2 linked regions of the Diceros bicornis minor genome follow. The main gene of each other region encodes a partner of the protein of the gene in region 2 in a complex. Links are inferred from orthologs where the notes say so. Each region holds a gene or a part of one and is shown on either strand. Other genes may lie near its edges.

Evidence for each region.
Region 1: the proteins of ABCC9 (region 2) and KCNJ8 are in contact, whole or in part, in a cryo-EM structure (PDB 7MIT), measured with the Rattus norvegicus proteins. The link is inferred for Diceros bicornis minor from reciprocal best matches to the Homo sapiens genes ABCC9 and KCNJ8. Residues at the interface, in XP_038963045.1 of Rattus norvegicus: Phe5, Ile10, Tyr13, Asn14, Ile15, Val19, Asn22, Cys24, Phe25, Ala28, Leu29, Val32, Val35, Phe36, Phe39, Phe42, Pro43, Ile44, Phe46, Ile47, Gly48, Trp49, Gly50, Ser51, Lys55, Gln57, Ile58, Asn129, Phe130, Lys132; in NP_058795.3 of Rattus norvegicus: Met1, Leu2, Lys5, Ile7, Ile8, Pro9, Glu11, Tyr12, Val13, Leu14, Ala15, Arg16, Ile17, Ala19, Glu20, Asn21, Leu22, Leu45, Ala46, His47, Lys48, Asn49, Gly54, Arg55, Phe56, Leu57, Asp59, Ile60, Thr62, Thr63.

Annotation. Positions count from the first base shown.
Region 1 is NC_080756.1:40,473,969-40,489,941, reverse strand, and holds KCNJ8 (ATP-sensitive inward rectifier potassium channel 8), read right to left. Parts: upstream 7,967-15,973; 5' UTR 7,674-7,966; intron 6,822-7,673; 5' UTR 6,752-6,821; coding exon 6,378-6,751; intron 2,498-6,377; coding exon 1,597-2,497; 3' UTR 842-1,596; downstream 1-841. UniProt on the Homo sapiens protein: Inward rectifier potassium channels are characterized by a greater tendency to allow potassium to flow into the cell rather than out of it.
Region 2 is NC_080756.1:40,336,900-40,353,103, forward strand, and holds the start of ABCC9 (ATP-binding cassette sub-family C member 9), read left to right. Parts: upstream 1-9,237; 5' UTR 9,238-9,345; intron 9,346-11,968; 5' UTR 11,969-12,029; intron 12,030-13,368; 5' UTR 13,369-13,388; coding exon 13,389-13,530; intron 13,531-16,114; coding exon 16,115-16,204. UniProt on the Homo sapiens protein: Subunit of ATP-sensitive potassium channels (KATP). Can form cardiac and smooth muscle-type KATP channels with KCNJ11. KCNJ11 forms the channel pore while ABCC9 is required for activation and regulation.

The sequences.
Region 1 (15,973 bases), about 140 kb from region 2:
TGAAACATTTGGTTTTAGACACAATAAATTTTAAATGCATATTAAGTATCCAAGTGGAGTTTCAAGTACCTGTTTGATATATGAGTCTGGAGTTCAAGGGAGTGGTTAGAATTTTCAGAAATGATTAACTAACACGATAAACAATTTCCATTCATCTGGTTAGAATCATGAGTCTTTTGTTTAAGACAGGATTTGAATATATTCATGATTACCTGCCTATTTCAATGTTCATAAACAAAGTAAAATAAATACAAACTCAAAAATCTGTGTAAAAGGCTACACAACAGCTATATGATGTTTAGCTGTGTGAACTAAAGAATAAGAATAAACCCATAGTTTATTAACCTAGTACTTCTCTCCGCACTCTCATCCCATCCTTCAAGAAGAAGGAGCTAAGGATGAGTAAATCAAGCTTTGATAGAAAAATCTCACTTTAGCAATTGAGATAATGCAAAATCTACATAGGCAAGGACTGAATTTAGATATATTGGGAAGGAAGTATAGTTTTAAGAGGGGGAGTCAGAGATTCAAAGAAAAAAGTTTACAGGATTTCCATGATACATCAGGCTCAGATAGAAAAGCCAAGAGAACATTTCAAAACTTGGAATGAAATGAAATCAAAATGAAACAAAAAATGTAGTTCCCTAGGAATAATAGATCTCAAAGAGAGGGACTCTTAGAGAGAGCGCGCTCTCAGAGGTAAGTGTTATGGCTGTATGATATCTCTTTCACATGCCTCTAAAAATGTTTTTCTCTTGAGCTTCAACTAGGGATAATTTTGTGAAAGAGAAATCACAAAACTACAATGAATACAAAGAAAATATTTTAATAAAATAGTCAATACAGTATTTCCCTGTGGGAGCTCTTAAGAAGAAGTGAGAAGCCAAAAGAAGTAACTATCACCTTTGGGAATCCAGTCCTAAATAAGACAGGAATATTCTTAGCTTTTCTCCAAAGCTCCTTGCTCAGTTCTGCCAACGGCTGCCATGAGGAGGATGAGGAAACCTCTGGAGGTCATTGTGAAGAACCAAGTGAATGAATAGAATCTGCTCAGAAGCAGATAGAGCTAAGCAGTTTTTGCCTCAGGCTTCTTACCAGGTGCAGTATCATGGAAAAAGGAGAAGGCAACATACTGGTTGATAAACAAAAGGTGTCAACAACACAATTTTGGGTTTTGCCCCCATTCTATTTGCATTTCCAGAGGCAACAACAGAAACAGAGAGGATCTGTGGTTTCACCCACTAAGCATTTCAAACAGAACCATTCCTTGGCCAACTTTTGTATTCAAGGTCTATGATTATTAATGTAATTTTTGTGCTTCAAATTGAGGGAAATTAGAGCATACTATTTCTTATATATAACTTAAGCTTATCACAGCAAATATTGCATGTATGAAACAAGTGTGAGCCATGAATCCTCCACCTTGTGTGTTACCGTTTATTGACACAGAAAGTGCTGTTGTTTGAATATGAACATCATTTAGTGCATTAAGATATAGAAGGACAAATTATTGTATTCCAGCTCTGGTACAGTCTGATAGTGCCCTGCATAAACTGTTAATACTTGATAAAAGTCTTTCTTGGGGTTGTCTTGCTGTCATGATTCCGATGTGTTCTGATTTCCTTCTGGAGTCATAAATTGCACCTTGGGCACGATGAGGGATGAGTTGTTCCTTCGGATAGAGTTGCTCCTCCTCATGGAATTGTTTCTTCTCATGGAATTGCGCTTCCTCAGAGAATTTTGATGGGACAGTTCACTCTTCTGGAGGGTCTGAATAAGGATGGAAGGCTTCTCATCCAGCTCCCTGGCACTGCACCTTGGAGCAGCTACTTTAACAGTGTTGCCAAATTTGGAGTAATCCACAGAATACACTCCTTCCTCCTCGGTTACAATAGACACAAAGCGATGGCCCCATTGGATCTCCTCAGCGATGTAGGAGGTTCTTGCTTGTGTGGTAATGCCAGTAGTTTCGACCACTCCTTCCAGAATTACTATGACCTCCAGGTCTTGGTTGGCGAGGTCAGTTGCTGAGATATCATACAAGGGGCTGCGCTTGTCAATCACATGGCAGATGATCAAAGGAGCCACCAGAAAAATGTTATTACTCTCAATCGGGTTATCAACAGGAATGTCCAGCTGGTGAATAGGCACCACTTCTCCTTCAGGGGTAGTTGTTTTCTTGACCACTTGGATGCGCACGGAGGCACTAATGATCATGCTTTTCCTCAGGTCACCCACTCGGAACATGAAGCACAGCTTGCCATTTCGAACAGCAATCACAGCGTGGCGGCTGAAAATCAAAGTTTCCGCCCTTCTGTGAGCCTGAGCTGTTTTCATGAATATGCAGCCCAGCATGACTGCATTGATGATCAAACCCACAATGTTCTGCAGAATCAAAACTGTGATGGCCAGAGGGCATTCCTCTGTCATCATTCTCCCTCCAAATCCAATTGTCACCTGAACTTCAATGGAGAAGAGAAAAGCAGAGGTGAAAGACCTGTAAGGAATGATAACAGAAAACAATGCCATCAGGTCAAATTTTGAATAATGAAATAACATGCCAAGCTGAATTTTTCATTTTTTTCTCCCAAAGGCTATTAAATGCTTTTGGAAAGACTAGCCAACTTCACTTGTCCAATGCCTGATTCTAAACACAAATACTTGTCTCTCTCTCTTTCTCACCCACATGCATCACATCCAGACTTCTGGAATACAATTCTATTAATGTTTTCTAGGTCATGTAATGATGGGCTTATTTATGTCAAAGCATTAAAATTATAAATACACATATTTATATTTATAGGCATAGTTTACTTTGCAAAACTTTCTACCAGGTAGATGTTTATTATCTATTGCATATCTGTATTTAAGTGACTTGAGTCATATGGAAAATACTGAGTAAGAGTCAACTTTTTACTATTTACAACCTTTAAAAATCATATTTATTAACTAATACTTATTGTGTATCTTATATAGAGAAAGCACAGTGCTAAAAAGTGGTACAAAAACACATCATTCAAAAATGCTACTATTGTTAATAGAAAAGAATGTTTTGCCATTTGGAAAAAAATGTGTTCTTATTAATTGTCTCATTTTGTTCTCTAAGTGATCTAGAGAATATTGAAAGAGAATACCAGAGAATACCGAATTCTTTCATTAAAGGAAGAATCTGAGGCAGAGATTAGTAAATAACTGTGTCAAGATCATATAATTAGTAAGAGCTTGAATCCTCTCACTTCTGGCCTAGTGCTCTGAAAAGGTAAAGGGAAGGGGTCAACAAGTGTCAAGAGTTTCTTGGGAAGCTTTTTCAAATTGCACTTTTCTTCCATATCTCGGTGAATGAACACTGCTGAATTCATTCAGGTAGGTTCAGGGTAGACCTGGGTAAGACTTCTCAAAATCTCTCAGGTGATTCTGATTTATCCCCCTGGTTGAGAAGCACCACATTTGGTTATTCTTACCATTAATTTATTCATGTAACTATATAACCAATACTTCCATGGCTTCTTAATGGAAACAATGTTAGCCCTGTGTTTGCCCCAACTCCAATTTCAAACTTCCCTAATTTTATAGGCGCTAAGCCATGCATAGTCCATCTGTCAAAGTATTATCTATCTATTAATGCCACACACAATGAATGAGCAAAATGTTTAAACATATGAATACTGACTCTACACATTGCACTTTGGTAGGATACCATGAAGGGTAAGCAAGCACACATAGATGATTCTTTTGATTAGATTTTAAGTGGAGTGTGAAAATTGCCTTTTTCACTCCTTTTGTTTTAAAAGATTCACGAAAAACCACAATAACTGCTTTTTGCACTAGCTACACACCACATATGTCATGTGATCCAAAACCATGGCAAAGAATAAGAATGGAGCCCGGGGGTGGGGCATGGACACAACACTGATTTCTAATAATGTATACAGACTTCAGGGAGCAGTCTAATGATGAATATTCCCAAATGTTTTGTTTTAATGGCTTGGGAGGCCATTCACGTGCCGTATTTTGTATATTGTTTATTTCATGAAATAACTTAATTCTAAACATTATATGGTGCAAGACCCAGCCTTTTGTGGACACCTGTCATGCTAAACAACCTCAAGAGATGAAAGTGTTTAGCTGCTTGTTTGTTCTGCTAGAGAGGGAGTCAGGCTGAATAATAAGAGGAAATATGTGGGTTTATTTTCTGACTCATGTTAGAAAGTGATCCACATGAAAGGGAAAGTGAGCCATTCTAAAACGAGGATGGTAAAATGTTATTTGGACATACTGGGGAGTATCCATCACAATAAGTTATTTCCAATTTTGATGAAATGGTGGGACATTGAACTTATGGAAGGAAAGAAAATGCAGAGAATTAGAAATATTATTAGTCATCTTTTAAATCCACTTTGGGAGAGAATAGAGATTTTTCTGTTTCTATATTTTTGGTGAGAAAATTTTTATTATGCATGGTTTGTTACAATTAAACTGTATGTTGAGATTAAAGTATAAATAGTGCCATAACATTAAAATAAAACCAGTAAAATTTTAACCTTAAAAGATGTCAAATAATTTTTTTTAAATAAGTGCAATTTAAAATGCTAAAATTGTCATGCTGATAAAATCAACTTTGTCTCATTGCATTTGTGACGCCATTTCTCATTCTCATGACTTAATGTTCACACCAGCAGGAAAGCATCAGCAGAATGAACATGCAAAACAGCTTTTAACAACCAATGCACTCTGTAAAGTTCTTTTAAAAAATCCTTGAAAGGATGTCACTTTGAGGATTTATCCTTTAATAAATTCCTTAATGACTTAACGACTTCTTTTTCACAGGAAAAGCCAATATATTTGTCTTGTGAATAAAATCTGCCATTTATTTTCAAGGTTTGTCATTTTCGTTTATCCCTTTTTATGAGTGTCTACTGCATCTTTATTAAAAATTTATCTTGATAGGAAAATGATTCACCAAGAGAAATATTACAGATAATGCTATCTGACCTACAAGTACCTGTTAAACATAGTATTTTAATTTTTTCCTTTATTATCTGGTGTACTGATGATCACCTACACTTTTCACCTACATTTTCTTTGAGATAAAAGTTTGTGACAAGTTTAAGACAAGAAAATAATATCTACTCGAAGGTAAAGGCAATGGATGAATTCAATATAGTTTTCCCACCTCAAAATCTGAGCTGAGATCTGTGGAGTCTAATCTCTGCACACAAACACTGCATCCCTCTTTGATATGCTAGCCTTGCAGTTACTTAGGAAATGGAAAGATGGACAAGTTCACAGTCTGAGTTTCTGCTTCTTGCAGTGGTATGCTAGTTTCATAAGATTTCAGGGTCAGTAAAGGTCTCATTCTTTACAGTTTCCTGGCAGAATGGTGCTCGTTCAAGTAGCTTTGCTTTGGGCATGACTGAATTTGGAATGTTATTCAGAAAATGTCCTGGAAAAGTTTCTAGTATTATTACTATTGTTTCGCTTCAGAGTGAACATGTTTGCAATTGATATAAATTCTCTCTTTCCATTTTCCAACAAAACAAATTAAGAGACAAATCACCCCAACTAAATGTTATCAGGCTACATGAAAATATGAGAGGAGCATTACTGAAACCAAATTCACTTTACTTATCTTTGAAATACTTGGTATAAGAGAAAGAAGCAAAGTTAGGCAATCTAAGAATTGTCTTGTTCCTATTCTATTACAATTCTGAAAGAAAGCCACAACATTAAGTCTACGTAATCTCTTCCATGAAAATTTTGGACCAATTTCCATTAAAAATTAATTTTTTCTTGTTCTGAATCTTAGCATAACTTTTAGTTTTGGAATCCAATGCAGGCAATCAGCTATTTAAGATAATCTTGATAAAGAAGGCCTTATATTTATTTCATTTTTAGTGCATTTTAATCTAGGACACCTCTCACAAGTGTTTTCCCATTTTTCTTATTATTTCTGAAAATGTCATGGGTAAGAGAAGTCATGGAAAAATATTAGTAGCATTAACACAATATTTTTTGTTGATCAGAGATATTTACTTGTGGACACTGGAACTATGGACAGAAGCTCTTTCGTGCTGAAAACTGTGTACTTTTTTTGAGTAAGGCACCCTATGGAATTCTTTGAACCACAACCATTTTTTAAATAACCGGTATAATATTTTCAAGGCTAGCCCAAGGCACTGAAGCTCCACATTTTCAGAGACTCCTCATCCAGAAAGCTGCATTTCAAAGTTTCTTAATGTGTTGGTCTTTTTACTTTTTTGTTTTGGAAGGTACTAAAGCAAACCCTTTATTTCACTTTCAACAAAATAACAACGTCACGAGGGCAGTTGAATATTTTTTCTGTTTTCAACCCCTGCCTTATCCCACTGCATTCTTACCTGACATTAGTCACACACACAGTGGACTCCAAACCACTTTTCTCCATTCCACTTTTCTCCATGTAAGCGTAGATGTCCCCATGGGCAAAGGCCACCAGCCACCACATGATGGCGAAGAGCAGCCAGCTGCAGAGGAAGGACATGGTAAAGATGACCAGCGTGTGGCGCCATTTCAGGTCCACCAAGGTAGTGAAGATGTCCTGAAGGAACCGTCCTTGCTCACGGATGTTCTTGTGCGCCAGGTTGCAGGCCCCGCTCTTGGCGATGAAGCGGGCTCTAGGGAGGCGGTCTCGGATGCGCGGTTTGCGCAGGTTCTCCGCGGCGATGCGAGCCAGCACATACTCCTCGGGGATGATGCTCTTTCTGGCCAACATCGTCCTGTCACCATAGCCAGCCTATCCACCTGTCTCTTCCTTGCCTTTCCTTTCCTCGAGACCCGTCCTCCTGCACGAGGGAAACGATGATTAAAAACTGTTCCCTCCCCACCCCCAATTTCCTCTCCTCTTCAGTCCTCTGATTCTGGGGTATGTCTGTACCCCAGAGGTGACATGCAAAACTACAGGTATGATTTTATTAATCTAAACATGACCCTAGTTTGTGTCTCGGTTCTGGGATCCCGGAGAAATTATTTGGTCTGAATCAGAACTGTTTCAATGGTCCTTATCATTTTGAACACATATGGGCATAGCCTTAGTTAAACAAAACCAGGAGCCTTGTAAACAGCAGGCTCAATGATAATTCTCTGAGATTAACCGCGTCTGCAGATTAGTGCATGGATACAAGCGGGCGGCGTCTATGACGAAAATTAAGACCAGCTGGGTATCACGATCTGTTTACTAAAGTATTTACATGATATAGCAATATTAAAAGTAAAGACGGGAAATTTTTCCTCCGTTATTTTTAGAAGTAGGCAAAGAAAAGGCCGTAGCCTCTGGCGCACTATAAATAACGTGTTTAGTGTAATTTGACAAAATAATAAGCAATGTGCTATGTAACTTGAAAATAATGAAGAAATATTTTAAATTTGAAAGAAGTATGAGTTTTGTATTAAAAAAAAATTCCCATTGGAACTCATAATATTACAAATTGAAACTTCTTTACAACGAAGGGATCACACGTACAAGCTGCAACAAAAAACCCGGACAATACGCTGAGGGCTGCGGATAGAATTAAAAGAGTGTGCCCAGAAAAGTTCATCCAGCACTGTAAACCTCTGCCGTGTTTTGCATTTTAAATCATTTGCGGGGACGCGGACAGCCTCCCCCTCCCCGCCCCGGGAGGAGCGTTGAAACTTACAGACTCTGGGCAGCGGGCGCTGCGGCTGCGCCTCCCCGCACACGCCGGCCGACCGCGGGCGGGTCCCTTGCTCTCCCATGCCGGCGCGCGGGAGCAGGGATCGCGAATGCCGGAGGGACAGATCCGGGGGCCGCGTGTCCTAGCGAGACGAGTTAAAATAATAAAAGGTGCAATTGAATCTGAACGCGGGGAGGGCTGGAGGAAGGGGGATGGGTGTAGATCTTCCCCTCCCCCTGCTCAGCTCTACTCCCTTGGCCGCTGCAGTGGGCGGAGGAGGGGCTGGGGGGAGAGGAGCCTGGGGATGATGCTCCACAACTCAGCCTCCCAGTTCGGGCTTTGACGCGCGCCAGACCTCTGAGGCCGCCGAAGTGGCCGAGCCACAGGCGGGAGGGGGTGCAGAGGGAGGGCGCCTCCGGGGGAGGTAGGGAGCGGTCCAGAGGGAGGGGCGACACGGAGAGGGCGGGACCTGTAGAACCAGCTCTTTTCCCGGTAGCTGCGACCCCCAGCCGCCAGCGTGATCCGCACGTCTGTAAAAGGCTCCCTGTTCAGAGGAAAGTGATTCAGTCCAAGTCCACTGACGTAAAGAGAATTTAATTTTTATTTTTATTTTGTAACCTGGGTAGATAAACTGGGCTACTTCGGATTGAATAAAACCAGATATAGAGATCAGAAAATAGTCTTCTGAGGCTTTCAAGCTGTGTGCACACGTATTTATTTACGTTAAATTTCCATCTGGTAGGGATGATACAGGTGGAAGATGTTCTGAAACCCACCGTAGTAAACTATTTCTTCACCAGTCAAAACTAGTTCTCAGGGAGGTACACACACACACACACACACACACACACACACACACCCCCAAAACGACAAAAAAAGTAGAAGAAAGAAAAACTACTCGAAGTCTCTTTCAGTGAGAAATTTTACCCCAAACAGGGACTGCTGTTAACACTTCAGAACTCAAAGTGTCGTTCTTCAGTAATTGGTTGCTTTCTGAAATGTTGCAGCTTCTCCGTCTTGTCTAGATGGCCTGAATGTTAAAAAGAGAGCAATTGCGCACAAGAAACATTATACAGTAAATATCTTTCTATAGCTTTTTGAAAAGGAGCCAGCAAAGACAAATGTACTTTCTCCCATAGATCAAGCCTCCTGATTTGGCGCTTGTGTTAATGGAAACTGTAATTCTTGGAAATTTCCAAGACTCGGGGTAGAAAGTGTATGGAACATAAACAATGTGTTCATTTAATTACTAAAAGACCTAAAATTAGTCTTTAATGAAGGCAAAGGAAGAATAATTCTTTTCCCCTTGTGGATAGATCTGCTTAACCGCTTCAAGCCTGGGACCCTAGTCTGTTCGTCGTCGCTGACCTCTGTATTGTCTTTAATTTTTACATTAATTTTTGTGGTAGTTTTACTACACGTTTGTGGGGATCAATTGGTATAGTTAATCCCCTCCTTGTCCTATTTTACAGTTGAGTTTGATGTGCAATTTATTCCCTATTATTTTAGCTAGGGGAACATTCATTGAATGCCTATTATGTGAAGAGTTGTTTTAAGTTTATATATAACATCATAGTTGGTGTTCTTAAGAGGCAGACTCTCTCATAGTAAAGAGAGACAGGACTTCGACAATAAATTCTAATACAAGCAAGGATGTGATTAGAATGAGAAAGGAAATATAACTCAAGTGCCATGGGAATTCAAATGAGAGATATTGAGACTGAGGAAAACTTCACGGATTATGTGGCACCTGATCTAGTCTTTGAAAAACAGATATATTGGGGGTATGGAGAAACAGAGAAAAGACATTCCACAGAGAGGGAACATCATGAACAAAGTTATGGAGTATTGACAAGAGTGGGCCATGTTTTAGTAACAGAAACTAATTTAATCAGCAATGATGAGGTCAACGTCAGCAAGATAGCAGGATGGGAGGATTGAGTCCAATGCTCCCTGGGCAGCCTGTCACCACTCTTCTCAACACATGGGTTATTCGTGCGCTTGTTCCGCCCCCACTTGGGTGAAACTGAGGGCAGAGCTGTGGCTTATCTTTGTATCATAAGCCTCTAGCACAGCTCAAATTACGGAGGTGCTCAAAAAATACTTTTGCGTCAATGAATGGAAAAGGTAAGGTTGAAAAACATACTGAGGCCTTGAAAAAAAATGCAGACAGTCTTAAATGCTCAACAAAGAAGTCTGGACAGTCTTCAATAGGTAAGTGGTAAGTCATGGAAAAATTTTGATTAGAGAACAACACAATAAGAGCCTGCTTTAGGAGGATGGATCAGGAAGCAGAGACTATGATGGCTTTAAGAGTTGCATTTCTAATCCCTTCAGGCGCCAAAATTCTGTGACTGGCAGAAAGGGACTCTGGAAACTATTACATTAATTAGAGAAGAAATGAGATCTGAGGCTAAAAGGCAATGTCAGTGGGCAATATACAAATATACACAAAAGGAGTGTTACACAGAGTTAGTATTGGAAAAGGAAAAAGTCGGAGGTGACTGTGATGTTTGTTGTAGTGACAGAGAAAGAGTAGAAAAATTAGAGTGAGAAGAGATTAACTGCTGACGAAAATTATGAGAAGATTTGCAATGCATAAATCCATATCTGACTCCTATGAAAATTCTGTTCTTTTGCTGTAATGTGTATTTAGGACTCAATTTTTTTTTCCTAAGGAGATATATCCTTCCAAACATGCAATTTTAAGTCAAGTTTTGACTTTTGAAATGACAAGCTATACCATAGTTTTTACTAGTCAATAATTTACATTGGTTAATTCAAAATAAGGTCACTGAGAATACACATAATAAACAACAAGAAGTCACTAAGTAAAATTTTGACAATAGAATGCCTCAAAACAAATAGCAGTCATTTAGAAAAAACATGAAACATGTGTACTATAAAAATATTACAGATTTTCTTTTTCTTTTCTCTTTCCATTGCCTTCCCGATTTTTTTTTTTTTAACCCACCCTTTATGTCTTTTTTCTTTAGCTAGTTTTTCTGCACTGTGTGGAAACTGCATCAGGGCAAGTTGTTTGTTATTTCTACAAACCCAGTGACTGGAATTGTTCCTAGCTCCTAGAAGTAGGTACTCAATAAATACTTGCCAAATTAAGGAAAGAAGTGCTTGCAACATGGTGTTTCTCTCTTGCAACCATTTCTCAGAACCCACATAGATAACCTGAAGTTTGGAGATCTCTAACGTCTATGGCCATTCCTGTCTGCAAAGATTCCCTTACTTATCATGTCTCCCCTCTCTCATCACCCTAACATTCTCCTCCCTTTGAACTCTCTGTTCCTTCCTTCCTCAGCAACTCCCCTAACCACTCCAGGTCAGCAATACTTAAACTTGTTTAAACTTGACGTTTGCTGGCTATGTTTCTCTTTACAACTTTATTTTGAGCTTAATGGAGACCTACCTGTATCTCACAAAGGTCTTTCTAGACACACAGTAGCTGGTTAATAAATACTTATTATTGATTGATCTCTAAGTCCTCCCCCTTCTGATCTTCCTCTTCTCATATTAGGGTCCAAATAGTGAACATTTAAATTTACTTCTGAGAAATCTGTGAAGGAAATCAATTAATTTTTCAAGAACACATTTACTACTTCAGGCTGATTTTGTTGGTCTACTTATTTAATCACTATTTTGCCGTTGTCTGCTAAAAGTTACATGTGTTTTCTTAACTGTTCTATAATTTTCCTAATTGTGCTTTCAGGAGTGACTTATTTATTCGCTACTCCTAGAGGAGACCAGTAATAAGTTTCGGTCAGAGCTGACTTTTTAAATCCTATGATTTTCTTGACTATTCAGGTATCCTGTTAGAATCTGCTCATATTGGATACCAGAGAAATGTATACGACTGGGAAGCAATTCAAAGATGTCTGTTCACTGGTAAGTCAACATCTGTCAGGTTCCTTTTAGATCCTATGAGCATTTTATTTGAGGATAAAGAAGTTTCTGCAATTCTCATTCTCTTAAGAAACAAAGTTTGTCAGGTGCCTTCAAACAAGCAAAGAAAGTATTCGGCTGATGCTTTTCCCAATTGTCTGCTGCTTTGAATATCAAATACAAATCAGTGAAGTCCTTGAAATTACGCTTGAGATAAAGGGTGAAGTCCTCGAATTTGACGATCTTGCCTTTGACTCAACTTGTGAATTTTGAACTCTTGGATTTCCTGAGCCGTATTAGACGTAACAATTTGGAGAGTCTTCAAAATGACAATGGAAACGATTCATGTTAGCAGCCCAAATAACAGTTGGTCTATTTTCTTGGTATGCTGCTTTATTAGTGTCCTCATATAAACCACTTTGGAACATACTGCTTTGAAATCAGCTTAATAAAACTGTTACATAAACTAGTAATCAAAACAGCATGTTATAAATTCACTTTTTTGGAGTTGTCGTGAAATGGGAATGACAATATAACTCTTCTTCCTTATCTATTCCAAGGAACTCAGAGAACATTTCTTTTTGAGATATATACCTATTTATGTGCAAAAAAGCCTCGCTTTCCTTTAAATGAGGTCACCCCTTTTCTTCAAGGATATCCGTCAGAACCATTCATGAAAAAGACCTCCATCCAGCTTGCATGCTCAACTCTTCAAACTTATGCCAGCTCACAGGTGTGAATCAGCAAGTCAAGAAGGGGGGATCGTTAACGATAATCACTACCTTTTAATATATATCTAAGTGAACAAAACAAATTCCTTGCTCCAAGGCATTGTTGGCGAGGAAGCTGTTAGCAAACAAGACAAGTAATGCATTACATGATTATCAATAGCGTTAAGATTTATGAAGAAAATAAAGCAAGATAAGTATTGCAGGTAATGGGGGCCAGAGATTGACAATTTTTCATAGAGTTCAGAAAAGACCTCTTTAAGAAGGCGAAATCTGAAAAAAGAATCAGCCAAGTGATCAACTGGGGAAAGAGTGGTTTGGGCAGCTCAAGAACAAGGATAAAGAAAGTGACTTGATATGTTTGAAGAATAGAAACAAGATCAATATATCGAATGGAGAAGAGGAAAAGCAGGAGACGAAATGGGAAAAATAGGAAGTGTATTCATTGATCTGGCCATCTCTCCATTTACCCAATGAATGAAGATTGAGAGTCTGCATTTCCGAGGCTATGAAAAACATTGACCTAATCCTTAAGACATCTGTACGGTAGGTTATTTTCTTCATTTTACGCACGAGTCGATTAGAGTATAGCTAAATGACTTACCTAAAATCAAATACCTAGTAGGTGGAAAGTTACCACAGACTCAAAACATCTGATCCCAAACCCTATACTTTTCTCACTGGGACGCTATCTCAAAGGGATGATTGTTAATCCATGGTCCAGCTACATGAGAAACCTCTGGTTACATTAATTTATTCCCCTCTAGGAGTTTATTGAGCAAGGATAGAATAAGATATAAGATCTTTGGCCCCCAAATGAAAGTATCTTTAATGAGAAGGTATAAATACTTCTAATAAAATAAAGCACATTTAAAAGTTCCCCTGGAGATTCTCTTGTCCACTCAGGCATAAGAAACTCATAGAATTGTTATGGGGACAAGATGACACAATCCACATAAAGTGCTTAGGATAGTGACTGGCTCATGATAAGTACTTAATAAATGTCTATTCTTACTAATATATTAGGGCTGGTTTTAGCTTGGTGATGGTCAAAAAGATCTCAGAGCTGGGTGTGGAGGGGGGAAGTGGGGGAGGTATAGACCCACAGATACCTTTAACTATTATTTAACAATCTTTCCTAATCTAATACTTAGAAAAGAAAACACAATAATATCATTTTATAATGTGTTATTTTTGAGACCTCACTAACCTTCAGAGTGCTAAGTAACCAATACTTGTACTGGCATCTCTTCAACTCTTGAATTTAATCAAGATACCGGGGACTGGAAGAGAGTCAGCCAAGACGCTGGTAATAAAATAAGGACCCAGGAAACCAACATGTCTGTTGTACTATAATAGTGTCTCCAAGAGAAAAGTGGTTCCTTCAATCAACTAAAGAGTACCTGTGGTCATTTTTTGCAGCCGGTAGTGCACAAAATGCTAGTACTAAATAAAGCTCGTAGGGATTTTTCCAAGAGAAGATGAGGAATAGCGGCTGTCACTGTTCATTTTTCCAGACCTTGAAATTATGCCTTGATATTCTCGTGCCAAAGAAAGACAAGTTTGTATGATTCTGGGATCTGTCCTGCTATAGGAACTCTCCACAGGCTTTTCTGACGCTCTTAGGTTAAGGGCGGTTCCCAACAATGTCCTGATCTACTGCTAAGCTTTCACGTCAATGTTTTGAAAAATCAGTGACTCATGTGGTACTTGGAAAGAGAAACCTGACATTTTCCAGAACTCTGTAGGGTGACTCCTTATTGCCACCTTTCAAAAATGCCAGCTGCAGAAGGGATTATAGAGGTTGAAAGTTTTAAAGTAATATTTAGACTCATTGGCCCCAATGATCATTTGCCAGGAACTCTTTTTCTACTATTAAATGACCTGAATTTTCCTTTAGGTAAAAAATTATGTGTGCCAGAAAAGCTTCCACAAGGACATTTTTCTAAACAGGTTCATACTAGAATTAAATATTTGATATTTGTTGCTAATTTAAAATGTCAAATTACCTCACTTATTGTTAGAATAAATGGGGTAATAAAATGGTCTCCTCTCTGTAAGCCTACAGAAATTTATTATGGATTTGTCAATGGTTTTTTAAAAAATTGAGGAATTATGGAAGATATATGAAATATACTATGATCTTTTAAGTTCACAGAATTTTAGAGTCAGAAAGATGTGGAATAAATTACAAGTTCTGCCATTTACTTGGTTGGTGGCTTTGAGCAACATACTTAATTACTCTGAGCCTCAATTTACTTCTGTAAAATGAAGACACTAACATCTGCCTCTCAGAGTTGGATAGGTTAACTGAGGTGAGTATGTAAAGGATTTAACACAGACCAATGACACTTAAAACGTAATATTTTCTCAAATAATTTAACTTTGACACAACTTCCTTAATTTGTATTTAATTAATTTATTATTTATTATTTTATTTTTTTCTTAACCTGCATTTGTTAGTGTTTTCGGATCAATAGTAAATCATACTGGTGATAACAGGCATGCTTTTCTTCTTAGTGGTTTTGAGAAAATGCTTCCGGAATATATAATTTACATAGTTATCATTTTAAGGTAGTGTGCTTTTTCTACTTTTCTATGTTTTTTTTAATCAATGATAGATGATGAATTACATAAAATGCCCTTTTAGCAAATACCAAAGTGATCTTTTTTTCTTTCTTGGCCAGTTGATATGGCAAATTAAGTCACTAGATTTTAAAAAATGTTGAATTATTTTTACATTCCTAAGTAAACTCCACTTGGTCATGGTGAATTACTATTTTAGTATAATGCTGGATTGTTTTTGCTAATATTTTTGGATTTTTGCATAAATATTTATAACCACAATTGGTCTGAATTATTCTTTCTGTATTATCTCTGCCTGGTTTTGGATAAATGTTATGTGTCTTTGTAAAAAGAATTGATGCATATTCTTTCTCTGTGAACTGGAATAGCTTATATAGAATAGGGACTGACGTACTCCTTGAAAGTGCAATAATTTTGAAATCGTCTGAGTCTGAATTTTTTAGGAATAGTTCTTGGCTCTTTGAATCTCTTTTTTCCCCCTGAGAACCCTATTTCAGACTTTCTAATTCTATCCTCCACATCTTCTAACCGTTCTTCATACTTTCTATCAGCTTGTTCTGTACTGCATTCTATGTACATTCTAGATGTGTTTCCAATGGAAAGAAATCTCTCATCATCTAAGCTTAACTGCTGTTTACTCTGTCCATTGAATTTTTAATTTTAATTTTAGTAACTTTTGTTCTTTTCTAAAAGTTCTATTTGGTTATTTTAAATTAATTTGCTCTTTTTCCCACTTTTTTAAACTTGTGTATACAATTATATAACCACCACCACAAATCACACAGATCAAGATATAAAACATGTCTATCATCCTAGAAGATTTCCTCCTGCTCCTTTCCAGGCTGTAATTGCTCCTTGCCAGAGCTAACTCTATTGTGGCTTATTTCCTCATCAGTTTGTTTTGCTTGTTGTTGAGTTTTGGGTAGATGGAATCATTCAGTAGGTACTGTTTAGTGCCTTCTTTCTCAACATCTTATCTCTGAGATTTGGCCATGTCGGTTTATATACCAGTAATAGCGTTTCACTGTGTGAACAAGCCACCATTTATTTATCCATCCTCCTGTTGATGGGCATTTGGGCTGTTTGGGGGTT
Region 2 (16,204 bases):
AAGGCTTACATGCCATTAGGCTCAGGGAAGGCTACTTGGAGCCCTGCAAGGCAGTTCCTTGTTGTACCACAGGAGCATACCTTTGCATTCTATTCCTTTCTGCTTCACTTGGCCTATAGTGACACCAAAGCAAAATAAGGACAATTATCTGGAACACTCAGATTTCAATCAATACATATTCATTGATTGTCTATTGTTTGCCAGATAATGCAACAGATGTTGAAGCTACAGAGTTGAAGAAGACATAGTCCTAGATTTCAAAAAGTTCAAGACCTCATGGTAAGAGAGACACATAAATATGTATAATATAAGTGTAGCTCAATAAAAGATAAAATTATCAGCAATCATGGAGCATAAAGAATATAATTAACAAGCCATGTTCAATACCTGGATGAGGAAGAGAACAACATTTAAGACAAGGAGAGCAAAAGCATGGGCAAAGACTTAGAAGATACTAAAAAAAAATGATCTATTTATGGATAGTGGGCATGCCGCATGCCTAGAGCATAAAGTGTTTGGATGATATTAAAAAATATGACTGGGAAAATTAAAGAGCAAACTAAAGCATTGGGCTTTTATTGAGTAGGTCATTCGCAAAATTTAATAATGTTAATAATCACCTATGATGCTTGTAAAATATATTGATTTCTTGTTGGAGGGCCCCTTCTTGAGCAGTGTTGGGCCCAGGAATCTGCACTTTTAACAAACATGTAGGCAGATTCTGGTGGAGGTCATTGGCAGACCACACTTGGAGGGACTGAGAAGGAGTGATGTGATCGGATCTGTGTTTACAAAGATAAGTGTGGAAATTATGGAAGAAAAGTGGAAGAAGACAGTTCAGCCACAGAAGCACTAGTTTGGATGTATCAAAATAGTCTCAGTGAGAGACAACAAGAGTGTGAGTTAAGGCAGTAGCAGTGGGAAGGGAGAGGAGAAGAGAGAAGTGATAGGTAACTTACGAGGTAAATCTGACAGGCATTCATGATCAATTGAATGTGTGTGTTGGAGAGTTGATTCAGAGATGTCAAAATTGTATGAGTATAGGGCAAGAGGCATCACGAGCAGAGACAGGAAATCAGAGGAGTGTAGGGTGGTGGGAACAGTAAGTTCACTTATAGACATTGTGAGTTTGAGGTGCACTATTAGGACTTTTTTCTTCCATCACAGATAGCAGAGTCCCTCTCTGGTTAGCTTAAGCAAATTGAGGAATTTACAGGGATCCTAGGACAACTTAAGGAATCTAAGAGGTATGCCGTTGGCTTTGATTAAGGGACCCAAATACCATCCAGACTCTCTCCTGTCTCTAGTCTTTGCTCTCTGCAGATCTTCTTCCCTTCCTTCTCTATTTCTATCAGAGTCAGTCACCTAGGAAGAGATTAAGCTCTCTTTTTTCTCTCTTTTCTTTTCAGTTCCAATTTCAAAATATTTGGGACAAATCCTGATTGGTCTAGCTTTGATCACATAGTCATTACATGTCAAAAGAGCTGTGGTTAGGAGGCTGGGGTCACAAACCCACATTGCAGCTCCTAGAGCAACCAAGTAGATCAAGAGAGGGGAATATTCCTAGGACAAGACACTGGGCGGATCATATTGAAGTATTAACCAAAGGTGCCTGCAGGACATCCATTTAGAGAAGTCAAACTTGAAAGTATAACTAAGGGAAGTGTTATTTGCTGAGTGCCTGCTGCATAGCAAACATTTTACTTGGTCTCTATCTCATTAAGTCATCCAAACAATCCCCAGTGGTAGCTACCACATTATTGTGCCCATTTTCAGCTGAAGAAATTGAGCTCCAGAGAAGTAAAATAACTTTGCCTGAGGTCACACAGCAGGAAGTGACAAAACTTTTAGGAAAGTCTATACTTTTTAACTGTTGAAACCATATTAGCTAAAGCCATGAGGGTGAATAAGATCTCTCCCAGAGGGTGTAGATGGTGATAAAGGGAGAGATCCTAGAGTGGAATCCACATTTAGGGAGTAAGCAGCGAAAGAGGAGTCATTGAAAGGGACTGAGGAAAGACCAACTATTAGCGAAGAAGAAGAATTTGATGTGTTAAAACTAAAAGAAGCAAGCTTTCAAAAAGGAAGACTTGAGTCAGCCCTGATTGCCTAGTGGTTAAAGTTTGGTGGTCACCTCTTCAGCAGCCCAGGTTTGCTTGCTAGTTGTGGATCCACACCACCCGTCTGTCAGTTGCCATGCTGTGGCAGTGGCTCACATAGAAGAACTAGAATGACTTACAACCAGGATATACAACCATGCACTGGGGCTTTGGGGAGAAAAAAAGAGAGGAAGACTGGCAACAGATGTTAGCCCAGGTTGAGAGACTTTCCCTGCAAGAAAAAAAAAAAAAAAAAAGGAAGACTTAATTAAGAGTGTCAAAGTGGCAGAGAGAAGCCAAACAGGAATAAGGCTGAAAGAGGCTGCAGCATTTGGCAATTAAGGAACTGCCTGGTGCAATTACACTTCTGAGAATCTTCTGTTCCCTGCCCCATTGTGACTGTGATAGTTTAGGCCCTCACCATCTCTCACCTGGACTACTGTAAAAGCCTTCTGTTTTGCATCCCTGTCTCTGTTCTCATCCCCACCAATCTATCTTCCACACTACCTACAGAAAGAGCCTTTTAAAGCAGGGATCACAGCATCTCATGCTTGCTTAGAAAACCTGAGAAGAAGCTCCACATTGTTTAGCTTAAAATATATCTCCATCACAAACCAGTCTCTAGAATCCCTTTCAGCTCACTGTACTTTTTTTTTTAAACATTTATTTATTTATTTTTGTGAGGCGATCAGCCCTGTGCTAACATCTGCCAATCATCCTCTTTTTTTGCTGAGGAAGACTGGCACTGGGCTAACATCCATGCCCATCTTCCTCCACTTTATATGGGACGCTGCCACAGCATGGCTTGCCAAGCAGTGTGTCAGTGTGCGCCTGGGATCCCTACCGGCGAACCCCAGGCCACCGCAGTGGAGCGCGTGCACTTAACTGCTTGCGCCACTGGGCCGGCCCCAGCTCACCGTACTTTTAATTGTGCCAGATGAAGCTACTTCGAGTTCAAGCATATGAAGTCTTATCGGCTTCTGTGCTTCTGCACATGCTGTTCTTACTGCTTGGGAGACTTTTTGATCCTCCTTTTTCCCCAATTTTGGCTGGTGATGGAAAGATCCTGTATCTTGGCTGGTGCCAGGGCAAAACACACAGAACTGTAAACCTAAAAAGTTGGATTTTACTGTATGTAAATTTTACCTAAAAAAGCTCTACTTAAAAAGAAAAGATATCTGGATAATCTCCGAATATTTGACAACTAAAACATTTCTAAATAATCAATGAGTCAAAGAAGAAATTTCAAACAAAATTAGAAAATACAAAGTCAATGGCACAAAAATTATTTTTTAAGCTAAATAAAATTAATAAATCTCTAGCTAAACTGATAAATAAGAAACGAGGGATAAAATGCAAACTACCAATATCCAGAATGAAAGAGGGGATATCAATAAAAATCCTATAGACATCAAAAGGACACTAAATAAATATTATGAACAACTATGTACCAAGACATTTAAAAATTAGATTAAATGTATGAATTCCTTACAAAGCACAAATTATGTAAACTGACATAAGAAGAAATAGAAAACCTGAGTACCACCATATCTAGTAAAGAAATCAAGTTCTTAAATAAAAGTTATTCTACAAGGAAATCTCTAGGCCCACATGGCTTCAACTTTAAATTCTATCAAAAATTTGAGGAAGGAATTAATAATCTTATAAAATTCTTTCAGAAAGTAGATGAGATGGGAATACTTCCAAATTTATTTTATGAAGCCAGAAAAATCCTGATCTCAATATTGAATGAAGACATTGCCAAAACAAACAAAACTCCCCAAAAAACCCAAAAATCAAAAACCAAAAAGCAAAGAAAGGAAAAGAAAATTTTAGACTAATGTCCCTCATTAAGATAGATGCAAAAAGTCGAAATAAGATATTAGTAAATTGAAGCCAGGAATATACACAAAGGAGATGATATCATGACCAGGGGAAATTTATCCCTGGAATGCAAGGTTCGTTTAATACTCAAAAATTTAACAATTCATTTTGGCCTATTAACAGAATAAAGGAGAAAAAGCACATGATCAGCACAATAAATGCAGGGAAAAAATGTGACAAAGTTCAACATCCATTCATGATAAACTTTCAACAAACTATGAATAGCAGGAAATGTCTCTGACCTGATAAAAGGGATCTATAAAAAACCTGCAGATAACATTACACTTAATAGTGAAAAATTGAATCCTTTTACCACTCAGACTAAGAAAAAGCCAATGATATCCACTCTCATTATTTCTATTCAACATCGTACAAGAGGAGCTTGTATGATGCCAGTGCAATAAGGCAAGAAAAACGAAACAAGATACACATAAAGAAGGAAGTAAAACTTTAGTTGTAGATGACATGATCATGAATGTAGAAAATCTTGAAGAATCTGCAAAAACACTACAACTCATAAATGAATTTAGCAATGTTGCAGGATACGAAGTCATTTTATATATTCTAGTAATGAACAACTGGAAAACGATATTGAAAAAATACTATTTATAATAGCATTAAAATCATAAAATGTTTTGGGATTGATTCAATGAACGATGTACAAGGCACATACACTGAAAAGTTGAAAACATGTCTGACAGGTAAAAGAAGACCTAGATAAAGAGATATGTGTATTGTGTTCATGGATTGGAGGACACAAGATTGTTAAGATGTAAATTCTCCCCAAATTGATTTTATAGATTCAATACAATCAAAATCAAAATCTCCGCAGGATTTTGTAGAAATTTTTAAGCTAATTTTAAATTTATAGAGAAATGAAAAGTGCATTGAACAGCTCAAATAATCTTGAATCTTACCAGGCAGTAAGCTGCTTGATATCAGTCTTGGCAATGATTTTTTGGATTTGACACCAAAAGCAAAGGCAACAAAAGCAAAAATAAACAAGTGAGACAACATCAAACTGAAAAGCTTCTGTACAACAAAGGAAACCATCAAAAAACCGAAAAGGCAACCTACCTAAGGGGAGAAAATATTTGCAAATCATATATCTGATAAGGGGTTAATAGCCAAAATATACAAAGAACTCATCCAACTCAATATCAAAAATCAAGTAATCTGGTTAAAAAATGGGCAGAGGACCTGAACAGGCATTTTTCCAAAGAAGACATACAGACGGCCAACAGGTACATGAAAAGGTGCTCAGCATCACTAATCACCAGGGAGATGAAAATTAAAACCACAATGAGATATCACCTCACACCCGTTAGAATGGCTATTATCAAAAAAGACAACAAATAACAAGTGTTGGTGAGGGTGTAAAGAAAAGGGAACCCTTGTGCACTGTTGGTGGGAATGTAAATTAGTACATCCACTACGGAAAACAGAATGGAGGTTCCTCAAAAAATTAAAAATAGAACTACCATACAATCCAGCAATATTACTTCTGGGTATTTATCCAAAGAAAACAAAACCACTAATTTGGAAAGATATATGCAGTCCTATATCCACTGCAGCATTATTTACAATAACTAAGATATGGAAGCAACCTAAGTGTCCACTGGCAGATGAATGGTTAAAGAAGATATGGTATACATACACAATGAAATATTACTCAGCCATAACAAAGATTGAAATCCTTCCATTTGCTACAGCATGGATGGATCTAGAGGGTACGATGCTAAGTGAAATATGCCAGACGAAGAAGAATATCATATGATTTCACCTTATATGTAGAATCTAAAAGAAACAAAACAGTGAATAGATAAAACAAAACAGAAACAGACTCATAGAGACAGAGAACAATTTGGTGGTTGCCAGAGGGGACGGGGCTGGGGGAAGGGAGAAACAGGCAAAGGGGATAAGAAGTACAAACTTGCAGTCATAAAATAAATAAGTCATGGGGATGTAATGTACAGCATAGACAATATAGTCAACAATATTGTAATAACTTCGTATGGTGAGAGATGGTAATCAGTGTTAGGGCGATCATTTTGTAATGTAAATAAATGGCAAATCACTATGTTGTATGCCTGAAACTAATACAATACTGTATGTCAACTATACTTTAATAAAAAATAGATAAATAAATAAAGATGGAAGCGCCATGAAGGGAGAGACTCTGGAGGGCTGACCCATCACTGACCTCTGCGTCAGGCAGGACATGGTGTGTGCTCTAACAAATCTTTGTAGAATGTATGAAAACAATTGTTTTTATTTTTTGTAAAGGCAGGACCACTATCATTTTTAAAATGACAAATTGAGAAAACATTTCTTATATATATGAAACAGGATTAATATCCTTCTCTTATTAAAAGTTCATGCAAGTTGTAAGAAACTTCATTAAGACCCGTAAGATGGACAAGTACGTGAGCGAGCTATTCACAATAGTGGAAATACAAAGATTAATGAACATTAGAAAAAAATGTTGAATTTTAATAACAGAATTGCATGTTATCTGTCAAGTTACAAGATATTTTTAAAATATAAGAATACTCAATGTGGGTTTGGGTATAAGTATAATAGGTCATCTCTCTCATACAGTTAGGGAGGAGTTAATATGAATGTTTTAGGAAATAATTTTGCATTCTATATCCACAGCCTTAAAAATATGTACTACTTTTGATCCTGTAATTACTTTTCAGAGACTATATCTTAAAAAAATTATCTGCTACAAAGAAAAAAAACTTTATGAAAATGTTCCTCAGAGGGTTAAATATGGTAGTAAAATTTTGGCAACTATATGTTCAACAATAGGAAAATGGATTTAAAGTTATGGTATAGCCACACGATAGAATATTATGCCGCCATTTAAACTATCTCTATAAAGATTTTAAAATACCATCGGAAAATAATTGTTTTAAAAGACATAGTGAGGAGACAAATTATCTTGTGATCGCCAACAATATAAAATATGCATAGAAAAAATAATAATGATAGCATATGCATTAGCTTTTACTGAAGGCGCAGGCACTCTTGCTGCACTTTAAAGGGATTATCTCATTTACCCTCACAGCAAACCTATGAAGCGTATATTTTCTTACTTGTCCCATTGAACTGGTGAGGAAACTAATACACAAAGGGATTAACCAAGTTGTCCAAAGTCTCTGATCTGACGGGTGGGATAGCAGAATTCGATAGCAGGCTGGCTCTCGCCTCCATGCTTTTAATCACTGCGCTAAACCGCTCGTTTTTGTTAAAACATAACAAAATGTTTTCAGTAGTGTTACAAGGGGCTCACTGGTCTCCCTTACACTTTTCCATAATTTCCAAAGTTTCTATAAGAAACATGACTTTTAATCATTATAAGTGATCTTAATCACAGCAATTTTTTTTAAATCCCAAAGTCAGCTTGGTTTTGTGTAGTCACACTCAGACTGTATATCTGGGGATTCTTTGCACCACCCCTCCCCCAGCCCCGATTTCCAGTTCTCTCTCCCCAGATGCCCTGGGGAGCCTCTGGTCCCCCTTCCGGCTTCTTCACGGGGTTTCCCCGGGTTCCACCCACAGGACCCGGATCCCCATGCTAGAAGCACGCTCTTTTCCCCCTGCGCCTGCGTCGCAGCAAACAGCTCTAGAGTGCAGTTGCCAAGCTTTCAAAGGCCGCAGCACCCGAGTCTTCGGGACCCTCCCGGCTGCCGCCCCACGAGGCCCCGCAGACCCCTAGCGGCCACGGGTTCAAGCTCAAGTCTCTGGCGGAGGCCGGGCGCTCGCCCGAGAACGCAGCGACCTTCCCGGGAGAGAGAGGAGCCCGCGGGAAGTCCCCCAGGGTTTGCAGGGCGGGGATCGGTCTCTGCCCACAACGTCCGAGAGGCCAGAGGCCGCTGGGCTTTAGGGTTCAAGTCCGGGGACCAGCCCCGGCCGCCCGCGGTCCTGGAGCGGTGCCCCTTGGGGGTCGCGCACGGAGGCCGCCTGGCTGACCATCCTTTATCAGATTAGGACCGTTGCTGAAAACAGTGATTATTTCAAGCTGAGAACTGGCCCCTGAGAAAATCGAGTGTTATTTAAAGAGTTGTCTGGGACAAAATTTACAGCTTGCGTCCTGGGGGGAGTTATTGTGGGGTGAGTGTATTTTAAACACGTTATCTCCTTGTGAACTAATTCTCTCTCTGGTCGGGAGCAAGAGTGGGGGGAACTGTTTGCGCAGCCGTGGGATTCAAAGTCCCCCTTTCGGGGAGCTAGAGTAAGGGTCGCCCTTCGGTGGCGCTGCGACTGGTCCAGAGGACTAAGTTTTCCGGGTCGCTGGGGCAAATATTTCACTTGAGCCTGCCTTGCTCCTGGGAGACATTCGCACGCCCTAATACAGCCCGGCAGCGGGTTCCTCTGCCTGGAAGGAGCCCTTCATTTCCCAGGTCCGATCACGGGGAAAATGGTGAAACCCCCAAATCCGCTTCTTTTTGTGGTTAATAGAAGGGCGCATAGAGAGCCTGGGAAAAAATTTACAAGTGCAAGTGAGAACCTTGCGAGTTTTGACATTTGAAAACCCGACTCTGGTGACTCATTGAATCCTATGTTGTAAGTTTCAGCGTCTCACGAAGTCTGGGGGACGCGTAATGCTTGTGTTTGTAAAATGTTCGCATCGCGCACCCCAAGTTTGCCGCTCGAATGCGGAAAGCTGGGCCGAGCGGGGGTGGGGAGGGTCTCCAGTCCGAGGCGCTGCGCTCGGGGCTTCTGCCCAGCTTCCTGCCTCGGAGGAGTCGCCGCGTCCGCCCTAGCCCAGAGCAGTTTGTGCAATTCAGAAACTCGATAGGAGGCAGCAGCTGATCTCCCACCACCCTAAAAATAATCCGCTCCGGCGCCCTGCGTGCTTCGGCTAGGGGAGGAAAACTCTGCCTTCCGAGTAAGTGAGTCCGTGTCTTTTACATAAATGTCATTTAACAATTTTAAGAATAAGTGTAAGCTGTCGATCTCGATCTAACATTTCGGCAACCGAAAGGCGCCCGCGCACTCTCAAAGCGCCTTTGCCTTCACGGTCGCTATTTCTAGGATCAGGACACCCGGCCCCAGCCGAGGAGAGAGGGCGTGGGGATCAGGTTTCCAGCTTTACTTACAAAACTCTGCCGGCTCCTACTTAAACCAACTGGAGATAGTGCAAGGAGTTATTATTACTTTTTTTCTCTTCGACATTTCCTGTCTTGTTCATGAAGTCGCTTTCTATCTGCTTAATTTTTGTTACTCTTTACTTTTTAGGAGTTCTGCGTCCCGGTTTGAAATGTACACTTAAGACAGTGTAGGAAGCCGGTGTTTTGAAGGTAGCGCAAGTGCACCAGTAGGGGTGTGAAGCAGCGTCAAACGATTGCTCAAGGTATTTATTTGTTTTTATTTGTTCAGTTTGGGATAAAAAAAAAAAATCCCATTGAAGTGTCCGTCTAAGGAATCTTATCTGCTGAGTAGTTCCAACATTTCCTTTGGTCTGTGATAGAACTTCAGTGGGTGCATTCAGATCAGGCATTAAATCAGAGGTCAGTGGTCATTTTTGCTAGTGATTTTCCTACTTGGATCTGGCATTCATAGATAGACAGACAGACAGGCATCTTTTAGTACATATTTTACGAACCATCTACTGAATAACTTCAAAAACTTATTACATTTGTTTTCGTAAGTGATCTAATCCTGAAAATGCCCTAGAGAATGATAAAGCCCTAAATAATTTCTTTAAAATGTCATGTTTCTGTATCACAACATAATTTGGTTAGTCTCTGAATAACTAAAGAACGAGTTATTTTGTATATAAGAATGAGAGCTTTTATATTGCTTTTAGCATGTTTTCTTCAGGTGTTTCCAGCATGTTAAATTCTCTGGGATTTCTACTCCGTTAGAACTGACGCTTTCTGCTGGATGAGCAGAAAAGAGTGCTGGTTTTCACTTACTTTATTCTCTATTCATCAACTAAATCCAAATTTTGTAACTCTTGAGGGTGTGGAACTTCATACAGTGCATTTCAAAGAATAAGAATACTGAGGGTAGTATCCTTGCCTTGAAATCGTAAATTTGGTCATCAAGGAGTATATTCTTTTTATGTTTTCTGCCCTGCAGACCATCCCTATAATCAGAGTTTCACTTTTGATGTTTGTCTTCCAAGTCCATTCAGTCAAGTTCTCCAACCCTATCGACTGTCATAAACACTTGAACATCTTTCCCTGGGTTTATGCTCGTGGGGAGAAAAATGTCTTGTCTTCCTATCTGGCCTCTCTTCCCTCTCCCGCTCCTCGATGCTTGGGCCTCTGTCTGTGCTCAGCTGAACTAAACAGCTCCAGAAGGGGCGGGGCTGAAGGGAGTCACGTGACAGAGCTTAGCCAGCAAGAGCAGCAATTCGTTCTGTTCCCAAACCGTTCCTAACGTAACCAGGGCTCTGGGAGGGAAACCCTGAATGACAATTAGAGATTTAAGAATTAGTTAAAAATCCTGATTGAATGAAATGCGTTTGCTAAACACAATAATTATGAACATATCTACAAGTTTACTCCTTCCCTCTTTTTGTCCATGTCGAGTTGTAATATGGGCTGGCTGTTACAATGCACACATGCACATGGCATGTTGGAGAGGAGGCTAAGGGACAAGGGGAAAAGGATGGAGGAGGAGGCAGGAAAAAAAAAAGCGAAAGGAGAGATGTGGTGAGAGGTAGTGAGCAGGTTGGGAGCCAGGGGGAAATATGCGAGTAGAGATTATGGTAGAAGGAAGAAATCATTCTAAAGCTTTTACTTGATTAATCTGAAGTATACACTTTAGTATGATTATGTCATTGTATGTTTCCCTGTCTGGCAGATCATAACCTTTACATTATACCAAGAACTATTGGGATTGGTGTGTATATGAGGAGTGTAATCTGATTTGTACAGTCTAAGACCACAGGGACTGTTTCTGTCATGCACTATTGGATTCCTAGTGCCTAGCGTGTGATCAATATCAATAAGTATTTTTACAGTTAATTAATTAGTGGCCTAGAATCCCAGTCATCAGGCATATGACTAAAAATGTTCTTTGACTTCTTCGCGTTATTATAGTTCTCTGATATTTTCTTTCCACAGTTACACACATTTATCCAAAGATTACTTAATTGGTAGATTTCAAGATTGATTAAATACCAGGCAGACAATGCTTATAGCTAATGAAATATATGTTTTACAACTTCAGATTATTCTTTAGCATCTGGCTCAATGATAATGATTAAATATCAAGGTTTATAAATGTGGCCAATTGGAATATTATGATTTTGGATAAAATTATAAAATTAGCTTAAGTAAAAATTTTCTTGTTCGTTCTAGGAGACAGTTTATACATGGCTTTCAATTAAGAGTGGGCTTAGAGTTTCCTTTTATCATTTCTACTAAATAAAGGAAGTCGTCTTAGAAATTCCACTACTAGCTATTATATTTGTTTCTGCTTTTTCCACCTTTTTTTCCAGTTTTATTGAGAAATAATTGACATACATCACTGTATAAGTACAAGGTATACAGCGTAATGGTTTGACTACATATATTGTGAAATGATTACAGCAATAGGTTTAGTTAACATCCATCATCTCATGTAGACACAATATATGATATAAAATTTCCATTTTACTGTTATTTAAAGAATCTCAAATCCTTTTTAATTCTTTTATCCAGCTTTGAACCTTAATAGTTGGTAACAATTTGCCAAGTTCATAATCTCATTTTGAATTTTTTAAAAGTATAACTTGTTTTTAAAAATGAGAAAAAGTCTCAACTAGAGAGCATATCAATGATTTATCAAAAAAGGGCGTTACCAGAAATAATATGCGGGAGGAATTCCATGTAAGCATTTACAGACTGTGAACACATAGGCTTTCTAACTAGTTGTTCTACTCATGTAATGCTTTATAAAACTTTTGCTTGAAATTTGGTTTCTCCAATAGTTTACCTACTGTTGCCAATCTTTTCTGTGTAACACTCTTTGTTTTTTTCTAGGAAAAAATATTGTTTGTGACCATTGCTAAATCAGTTATCAATGAAAGGGAAGAGAGAAAAGGTACAACTTTAGTTATTCAAACTTTTGCCAACCTTTAATAATCTAACTCAGAATCCAGTGTGACAGAAATATGGAAAAGTAACCAAGTCCAGTGAGGTTAAATTCTTAAACTGCTACTTATTTTAATAAGAACAAATAAGATATTTTCTTTAAAAAATAGGTTGGAAGCTACGTGATGCAGTGGGAAGGACATAGTTTATAGTCAGACTTGTGGGTGTGGCTCACTGCTATTCTGCTGGTTGGCAAGTTACTGAACCCTGCTGAACCTCATTGTCCTCTTCTGTAAAGTATGAATAACTCCACTAACATTGCACGGCTGTTCTGAAGACTAAATGTATGTGAAGTGTCCAGAATTTAGTAGGTATTAAATAAATAGTAGGCATTATAAAAGAAGTTTTCAGAATGCTAAAGCTCTTGCTGGAATTTCACAGTAGTGTTTTGATGGAGTAGACCCTTGCTCCTATACCATCTGTTTCAGCACAGCAGTGAAAGGAATTCATTTAAAATGTAAGTCAGAGAGTGTTACTCCTCCGATCAAAAACCCCCAGTGGCTCCATCTCACTCAGAGTAGAAGCCAAAGTCCCGACAGTGGCCAACAAAGCCATGGGTGATCTTGTCCTCTGTTTCCTCTCTAAACTCATCTACTTCTACGCTAATGGAATACAGATTCCAATTAAAAGACATCCTTTGTTTCAAAACTCAGAGTACATTTCGTATAAGAATATTCTCTGACTACAGGACCTGTGTAGTTTCATTAACTTGTCACTTGAGTTATATTCATTTGTCTTAGCGCTTGAGTCTAATCTTCAAAGAAAGGCTAATTGCCATTTGCAACCACAGTGGTCTCTGTGTTTTAGTATTTCCTGCAATTAATGAAATGTTGCAGTAAATTGTGTCCAGCTGAAGTTGTTTGTTAATGCATTTTCAATGAATGAACATGGGAAAGGATTTGATATGACACCACTTTGTCTTTTCAGTCAATAGTTTCATTGTTTTCTCCCCCTTTTTCTTATATATCACCACTTTTGTTCTTTGAAACCATTTTAGTCCAACAAACACTCCTTTGAGGTACCACTATTGGTAGGTGTTAATTATTATATATTTTCCAAATTAAAATAAAATATTTTTCTCTGGAAAAAAAACACTTGAAAGGGAAAACTTACAGAATGTATAAGGCCATTATAAGAAGCTCTCAAATGGCTCTGGCATAAGATTTCCTATTTCCTCGACTGCAAAAATAAAGGAGATTAATTTTATGATGTAATCTCCTCTTTAAGGTTATAATTTATGAAAAGGAATTTAATAATAAGAGGTTCTTTCTCTTTTCTCTCTCTTTTAGAGTAAACCATATAAGAAGAAATGAGCCTTTCATTCTGTGGTAACAACATTTCTTCATATAATATCTATGACGGCGTATTACAAAATCCTTGCTTTGTGGATGCCCTCAACCTGGTCCCCCATGTCTTCCTGTTGTTTATCACTTTTCCAATATTGTTTATTGGTAAGTGATCTGCTGTCCTATATTATATCACCTCATGTTTATAAAAAATCTTATTAATGGCTGAGATTTGGTATAATGTTGACTTAATTTCTTCAACATGAAAACTTGTAGGTAAGTCTGTGAGAAAAAAACAAGCAAGTATTTTGTGTTTTCCAATGAAATATATTTTTGGCATATGATATTCCATAGGTAAAATAGAATGCCTTGTAGAAATGGCCTTCAAAGAGCAGCAGCAGTTTTTTAAAAAGAGAAAGAGAATTATATGAGATGGATCTAAAATATTTGTTTAGCACTTGCTTTGTGCTAGGTGAGGAGAATGGAAAATGGGTAAACACACAGTACTTGCCTGGAATATTCACTGGAATTGTCCAGTGAAATAGATGTGTCAAAGTCAAGAGAAATGACTATACCACATTGTAAGCCCATTTACAGATACAGGAACAAATTGTCTTGGGCATTAACCTGCGAGATCAACTAATTCTTCTTGGGGCTGGTGGGGAAGATTGCGTAGAGACTGACATGTGTGGGGACTTGAGGATGCAGAGCCTGCAAGTTAAAGTAGGAGTGATGAGGGTGTGTTACAAGTAGAAAGAGTGCATTGCAAACTATTTGGAAAGGAACTAAAAATATAGTTTTTCCTAGTATTTTACAGTCTACAAATACACAAAATCTAATTATTTAGAGCAATTATGTGTAATTTGTGTAATTTCCCCAAAACAACCAAAATAGAGCTTTTAACTTTTTTAAATTATAAAATAACTTTCATATATAAAAATGTCAGAGACTAATGTAATAAACATCCATTGAACCTACCACCACTCATCTTAAGGAATTTGATAGTAAGAATATAAGTGAATCCTTCTGTGTGCCATTTCCTGATCTTGTTACTCTTCCCACAGCCTACATTCTTATCCCTTCGAAAGAGGTAACCACTATTTTGAATTTGTTTAATATTTCCATGCATGATTTTGCTCATAAAAATAGATGAAAAAGCTATCCGACTGATTTTCTTAAGAAAGTTAGCATAATTTAATGATCTGCTTTAAAAGAGGGTTTAAAAATAATTTGTATGATTTTATTTCTTCATTTAACAAATATCGAGAAACTACTATGTGCCTGGCGTTCTAACAGTGATCAAAAAATTTCCATTATATGAGATATCGTATAATGCAGATGCCAACATAACTCTTGGTACATAGTTAGTCATGTTAAACAAATGTATGGATATTAAATATATTGGGACTAGAGTGGCCACATATAGAAACACTAGTTTTTTATGTGGTGTTATTTTATAGGACATTAAGAATGCCTTTTGGCCAAAAGTAGAACATCTATTTTTTTTATCATAATTCTCACAATTAGTAATTCACTTTTGACATCTAATTAGCTTCTTGAGAGCAATTACTGTGAATTATTTGCATCTCTAGCATTGAACACAGGCTGGCAAAACGGTATTTGAATGAAGTAGAATTAGAGTGAAGATCGTTAAAGGGAAATGGTGGAGAAAAATGCAGACCGTTCATCTATAACATTGGCTACTTGAGTTAGTGAGAGATCATAAATACTAAATCTCAAAGAAGTATCAGGTATAAGGAAAATTATAATGTTGAACAAAAGACATAGAGCTTGCCTGCAAGAGTTTGCGGCATAAATTCTAGTGGAGTATGTTAAATGTAACTAATCTTCCAATAATGAAGTTCCTTTGGGAACAACTAAGACATATAGAATCAATTTTATTTTCAAAGAAGGCTTTAGGAGTCCCTTTTGTTCATACAGAAATTCCTTCCTGCAGTGTTTTAAGCACAAACTCCCATTCATTCTTGAAGTATGTGAGGCTTCTCTACAATCAAAAAATAAGAAAAAAGGTGAAAAAAGGACACAAAAGTGGGGTGCTGTCCTAGCATGCTGTATATGAGTTGGCATTATTCTAACTATAGTTTTGAGGGGAAACCATCAAAATTTTACTAAAATGTAATCTTGAATTTTTTCTTCAGTGGTGAGCTCAAGTTGAACCTATAATGTTCTTGATCCTGCTTAAAAGCTCCTCAATGAATAATACTTTAGTTTTCTTTGAGAAAATATCACTACCACTGTTGAATAGGGCTGGCCCAGTCATAAGTTACCATTTTTCTCACATGATATGCATATGATTAAGAGTTAACTCAACTAAGGAGTCCTATATTTCTTCACTAAATATGGCTATTTTGTTAGTCCTCCCACAGATCCCATGTTTTGAAAGATTTTAGATATCAAATTTCTTTTATTAATAGCATCCTTAAGTTGGTTTCTTTTTGAGTGAATCAGAGACCTGTCAGTAAGAGCTGTGATTCACATGAAATAACCATGTTGTCACCCAGAATTGGTGTTACTTCCAAGCAATGCAACAAATGTCAGTGTGTTAACTTAGGCAGTCTTGTAAAAATTAATTGAAATTGTTATTTTTTTTGAAGTAATGAAAACAGATCAGGATTTCCTAGAGAGCACTAAGTTTTCATGAACCCCCAAAGCGTATCACAATGTAAATTATTTCCATGATTATAATTGATCCTTTTGTTTATCTCTTTACTTTTTTCTTTTTTTTCAGGGTGGGGGAGTCAAAGCTCAAAAGTACAAATTCATCACAACACATGGCTTCATTTTCCTGGACATAACCTGAGATGGATTCTCACATTTG